2 linked regions of the Danio rerio genome follow. The protein of the gene in region 1 purifies or fractionates together with the protein of each later gene. This does not show direct contact. Links are inferred from orthologs where the notes say so. Each region holds a gene or a part of one and is shown on either strand. Other genes may lie near its edges.

Region 1 (2,736 bases):
ACTTCTAGCAAACATTTTCACCATTGTTTTATTAAAGCACCTATGTTTTAAATGTCATATTTGCATTAAAACTATTGCTCTAAAATACTTAAAACCCCTCTTAGTTCTTCTCAGTTCCACAGTATTAGTTACCAAGTTATTGTTGCTTAAGCTGAAGGGCCATTCTTTTTCCATTTGACCCTCTTAATCTTATGTATATATTCTCACTAGTGTATATAGGGATCAGCTTTCAGCTAAAAGCCAGACAGGTGCTGCATGTGCAATAGGTAATCCTGTACTGCCTAATGAATAATTCAGCAAAATGTTTCTTGACTTGCAACTTTTTCTTTTTAACATTGTCACATGGACACGATGGAAGGTTTGGTCTAAATATTAAACTACCCTGAGGCCAATTTAAACTGCTCAGACAAATGCCAATACCAACAAACAAGTGGCCCATTGGATGTAGAATGTCGCTGAAAAAACAGTTCACAATCGCCACACACAATAAACACAGTAATTAATGAATACTTCCTATGGCTAAATAGTAATTTTATGTAAAGTTTTACGTCAGTTTGTTGGAAAATCATAATCACACTGCTCAGACATTCCACCATTGGTGAAAATAAACTGACCAACAGCTGACCAAATGAAAATCATTACAGTCTGATCCAGCAAAATCTGACAGACTTGTTTGTTGCCATTGGTCTGTGCAGTAAGAAATGGCCTTTACAAAACAAAGATAAACTAAAGTACCACAATGATAAAACAAAGATGATGAACAATGATGTGAATATTACTATTCATTTATTTATAAAAAATAACAGACTCAATACAATGCGAATGTACAATCGTAGACATTTTCCTCTTGGAGAAAGTATTTCTACATGACATTTAGGTGTGAAAAACATCAGGGGTGAAGTGGCAGTCGTACTCTCCTCTTTACCGTTCATACTCCTCATTTTTTGGAGAACTTGGCCTGCTTGTGTTTTGGAGGTGCCCATTTCAAACAATGTGTGTCCACTGTAGAAGCATAGAAAGTTAAACGATTAAACTTTGGAGAAAAAAGAGGAAGGCTGCCCAGTTCAGCATTTGTTTTTCAGATGTTACCTGTTATTGGAGGTTTCTTATACTGGGCACTTTTCAGATGTTCCTCTACGAGTTTGGGAGTGACACAGATGACATGCTGACCTTTCCAGTACTTGACCATGTTCAGAGACTGTAGTGTGCTGATGATGTCACTCTGAGTGATGCTCGTCATCTGACTGTGGGCGCATTATGCATTAGTTGGCAATCATTAACAAAACCTTGGTAGTAAATTAGCAACTTTTTTTAAACGATTGCATAATGATTGTCTAAAATAAACACTCACCAAATGTACGTAAAAACTGTGTAAGCATGTATATAATACAAGGAGTGTAGAAAATATATTAAAGAGTCATGAAACCCCCTCTTTCAGGTAAAGTGTACGTCTTTTTTTTTTTAATGCACTTGATCTTCAGACAGTAAAGCGTTTGAAAGTAGCGTCTGTCAATAACTACATTTACATCCAATTGTTTTGATGCACATTTAAAAAATGCACATAAAAGATTGAGTTGATGGATTTATATTTTAGATTTTTCTGAGTGAGTTAACTAGCGACATTAGGAGAAGAAATGCTATTTTTCTTGGTGAAGTAGTTAAAGCAGGGGTCACCAATCTCGGTCCTGGAGGGCCGGTGTCCCTGCAGGGTTTAGCTCCAACTTGCTTCAACACACCTGCCTGGATGTTTCAAGTATACTTAGTAAGACCTTAATTAGCTTGCTCAGGTGTGTTTGATAACAGTTGGAGCTAAAATCTGTAGGACACCGGCCCTCCAGGAACAAGTTTGGTGACCCCTGAGTTAAAGGGTTAAATAAAGAAAAGATTCATGCAGTTTCTCTTTACTGTTGATACTTGGTGCCGGTTTATCAGGGAGCGACGATTTTGTTCTCTTTGATTTGTTGGATGGAAACGCTGCTTTATTCGCACGTCTTTAATGTGATATTCCAGTTTTGCACATAAAGTTAATTCGCATCTTTGGATGGAAACATTAAATTAAATTAAAAATAAAAAAATTAAATTAAATTGTCATGAATAAAAATTAGACAACACTTCAAAGCACTCATAGCCCTATGCTACATCACCACCAGTGATGCTGACTTGATGTAAATATTAAGACTAAAAGATGAAATTAAAGAGACAAAGCTCAAAATTACCATGTTTTTTTTCTACAATTAAAGCTAACAGATGTCTTGATAGATGTCAAATTATTAGTTGAGAGATTCATGACCCTTTATTGTCCAGTTTGATTTCACTCCTAAAATATTCGTTATAGGCCCTGATTGTTTAGGTATACCTCATAGGTCTCAAACTTAATAGTGTATATGCGGAAGTATGCTAAAGGACTTTTAATTGGTCAGTAACCTGGGTTAAACGCTTCCGGTGAACTGTATGCCATTACAAAATCGTCCAGTTTAAGCTCTGTTTCTGTTTTTAAATTATCGATATCTGATATAAAGTGAGGCTCAGATTGTACAAGAAGCACTGCATTAAATTACATATTTCCCCACCATGTCTTTAAAACATGAACATTTATTTTACCCCAGTATATTCAATGGAGCTTCTGTGCTAGCTTGTCGATTCTGATGGGATGGGCGCGTGTGAGTAAACGCCTTTTTGTCTTGTTTTACACCTGAGCAACTAAATGAATGTCAAAGTCTATTTAACTGAATGTAT
Region 2 (3,836 bases), on another chromosome or scaffold:
AGATTTTGATCCCGCTCAAAAATGTTTTTGTACCCGAAGATGAAAGTTGACAAAAGCTCAAAATTATCCAGTTTTCCCCACAATTAAAACTGACAGGTGCCAATGTTTCATAATTGATGCTCAACACGCACAAATCTGTTAAAGTTTCTTGATTCTTAAACCTTTTAGTGTTACAAATATTTCAGTTTGTTCTCACCTTTGTGCTAAGGTTACCCAGACCTGGATGAGATGTCGTTGGCTTACTTGGAGAGACCGTCTTCCCCACCGCATCGTTCTTCCTCTAGTGCCTTCAAGCACAGCACCTTCCAATACCCTCGTGCCATACTATCTGTCGACCTCACCGGGGAGAGTGAGTTTTGTCATGTGGAGTTATTTGTGGCTGTAAAATTTGACTTGCTTGTTATAATAGATAGTAGTCAACATGAATACGATATTGGTAATGTTGAGCCTCTTATTTTCTTTTCCTATCGCAGACCTTTCAGACATCGACTTCCTGGAAGACTCGACAACTGAGAGCTTACTGTTCAGTGGAGATGAGTATAACCAGGATCTAGACTCAATCACTATGGAGGACTTTCAGGATGAGGATGATGATGGTGCTGATGAAATTGTTCGCTGCATATGCGAGATGGATGAAGAAAATGGCTTCATGATTCAGGTAGGATCATGGCATCAAATCTTAAAGGGATAGTTCACCCAAAAATTGAAATTTCTTTAGCTTTTACCCAAATTTAAGTGCTTCTAAACTTGATAGATTTCTTTTTTCTGTTTAATATTACAATTATTATTGTTGTACAAGATATTCGAAAGAATGCTTTAAGTTGCATTTAGTTGACATCCATAATAGAAAGAAAATAATACTGTAGAAGTTAATGGCTTTTTTACAACAGTTTCAGTATGTCTTCCGTTGTATTCAACAGAATGAAGAAGTGAGGGATTAGCATGATGACAATTAAAAATAATGGGTTAACTGTCACTTTAAATGTGTTGAAATAGTGCCTGAAAATGTGTATTTGTCTTTTTGCGTATCACTTTACAGTGTGAAGAATGTATGTGCTGGCAGCACAGTGTATGTATGGGGCTTTTGGAGGACAGCATCCCTGAACAGTACATCTGTTACATCTGTAGAGACCCTCCAGGTAACAATCATGCAACAGTTGAAAATTGTCAGCAGGATCTTTAACTGTATCCTGCTATTACAAATGTCTGTTTTTATTCCTTAAATGAATAAAATGAATTCTAAATATTAAACTGAAATGTCTCCAGATTTGTTACTAAAATATGCTCTTTTCTCAGGTCAGAGGTGGAGCGCAAAGTACCGCCATGATAAAGACTGGCTTCAAAAAGGCCACATGTACGGCCTGTCTTTCCTCACCGAGAACTACTCGCATCAGAATGCCAAGAAAATCGTGTCCACTCACCAGCTGCTGGCTGATGTTTACAGTGTTAAAAACCTGCTCCATGGCCTTCAGCTAAAGATGGATATTTTACAGTAAGAGCAATTACCAGAAGCCTGCTTAATCCTTTAAATTAGATGTTAACTAATTAACTGTCACTAGATATTTTATGCATAGAGATTGTTGCGCACAGTTCTTGTTGTCATAAAAAGCTCTTGTTGTCATAAAAATAAGTCTGTGACATTTTAATTGGAAAATTGATCAGTTGTTATATCTTGCTTTTCTGGATGTGTTAATTTTAACTTTTTGGTTGGAAGCACACACACCGTTTTCGTGGACTAGACACAGCACTACAGTTAAGGTGTTTGAGTTTAAAAGCAGTGCTCATAGATACATACGATATTGGTGATGTTACGATATCAGTGATACAGAGAACAACTTCCATCAGAATGGTTTTCTTTCTTTTTTTCTTAAACATCACCATTATGCACTAAAGGAAACAGCAAACAAGCGTAATAGGCCCCATATAAACTGGTCTTTGAATATTTTTTCTGTTATAGAAGAAAAACAGGAACTATAATATGCTTTTCACATTTTCTAAGGAACAAGCATAACCCAAGTTTACACTTGTGGGCTCGGTCTTGGGTAAACTCTGATGAGGACCAGCCTATGGGTGGAGTTCCAGACGGTCTACATTTCAAAGAGCACCTTAATCAGAATTCAAACCCTGAAACCTACATTACTAGTGAGCACAGCTACCAAAAACCACCTGGGACTGGTGCCGAGCACACAAGAGATGAGCAGGGGATGCAAATGGGCTCTCAGTTTAACATAAAGGAAGAAGAGGTATCCAAAGGACAGTTAAAACTCATATCTGTTCAGTGTCAGTATGTGGAAGAGAATGTTTAAAGATAATTGCTGTGTGTTATGTTTGTGTAGGTCAGCAGTGCCATTGCTCTGTCTGGATGTGTTAATGACAGCAGTGTGGAGCAGACCAGGAACTGCCTGCAGTGGCAGATGAACCTGCTCACACACATAGAGGACATTCAGAACCAGTTGTCGGGCCGCATGGACCTCATTGAGAAAGAGCTTGATGGTAAGCAGCCAAAACATGGAATGTGGCGCTAAATTACACATTTAAAATAACACCATTACCCCCTAATCTACAAAAGCATTTTGAGTGCTGGTCTGGAGTGGTTCTTAAATAGTAGCATCTTAAATAGCCACACTGCTGGGTGTGAAGAAAGAAAGGCTTGCGTTAGGTGCTGAGGGCAGGGCTACTGTGACAAACAAGATAAATAAAAACTCTTTTGAGCTGCATTTTTGAAATAGCAATGAACACAATGGTGAACCAGTTATTACAACTTGAAATCTCAGCAGCATCTTGCAAACCACGGCATACTGCTCACACATTGGATTCAATGTTTTTGGATGCCTATGTAGCTAAGCCAATAACATTATACTGAGAGCAAAGCAACATTGATTGTATTTGTGTTTGTTTGTATTTGCATTGCTGGGAAAGATGGGATGTATTCAGAGAGCAGGGTTCCCACTCTCCTTGAAAGTACTTCAGTTTCAGACATTTGGATTTAAGGCCTTGAAAGTACTTAAAAACAAACTTGGGTAGTTTAAAATGCTTGAATTAAACTTAAAATAAAAATAGTTTGTGTTAGTTCAACAATTTTACTATGCTTCTCTAAAAAAAAATATTGATGCTGGGTGTCACAGTGGCACAATGGGTAGCATGATCGCCTCATAGCAAGAAGGTTGCTGGTTCGAGCCTCGGCTGGGCCAGTGGGGATTTCTGTGTGGAGTTTGCATGTCCTCCTTGTGTTGGTGTGGGTTTAATGCAGGTGCTCCAGTTTACCCCACAGTCCAAATATGTGGTATTGGTGAATTAAACAAGCTAAATTGGCCGTAGTGTATTTGTATGAATGGCGACCCCTGATTAATAAAAGGACTAATCCGAAAAGAAAATAAATGAATGAACAAGAACTTTGAAATATAAAGCACATTTTATCAATATTTCAGATTAATAATATTACCAGTATTGCATTCAACAATTTATTAAATTCAGAGCTTAAAGAGTTCCGGCACTGAGCCTGCGCGTGCGGTTTAATTAGGGATGCTCAAAATAATCGATTAACAAAAGTATTGTCTTGTAGACCTCCGAGACAGGATTGTCTCGAGGCACAAGGCTGGGGAAATTACAAAAAAAATTCTGCTGCTCTGAAAGTTCCAATGAGCACAGTGGCCTCCATCATCCGCAAGTGAAAGATGTTTAGAACCACCAGGACTCTTCCAAGAGCTGCACGGCCATCTGAGCTGAGTGATCAGGGGAAAAGGGCCTTAGTCAGGGAGGTGATCAATAACCATATGGTCACTCTGTCTGAGCTCCAGCATTCTTCTGTGGCGAGAGGAAAACCTTACAAAAGGACA

The links.
Region 2: the proteins of kat8 (region 1) and phf20l1 purify together in Homo sapiens (affinity purification with mass spectrometry; 3 studies listed by BioGRID and IntAct, with this or other methods). This does not show direct contact. The link is inferred for Danio rerio from reciprocal best matches to the Homo sapiens genes KAT8 and PHF20L1.

What each region holds. Positions count from the first base shown.
Region 1 is NC_133178.1:31,500,515-31,503,250, reverse strand, and holds the end of kat8 (histone acetyltransferase KAT8), read right to left. Parts: intron 1,245-2,736; coding exon 1,090-1,244; intron 1,003-1,089; coding exon 938-1,002; 3' UTR 769-937; downstream 1-768.
Region 2 is NC_133191.1:34,798,728-34,802,563, reverse strand, and holds part of phf20l1 (PHD finger protein 20-like protein 1), read left to right. Parts: intron 1-208; coding exon 209-349; intron 350-473; coding exon 474-658; intron 659-1,039; coding exon 1,040-1,139; intron 1,140-1,296; coding exon 1,297-1,492; intron 1,493-1,999; coding exon 2,000-2,243; intron 2,244-2,336; coding exon 2,337-2,493; intron 2,494-2,924; coding exon of another isoform or gene 2,925-2,961; intron 2,962-3,498; coding exon of another isoform or gene 3,499-3,836.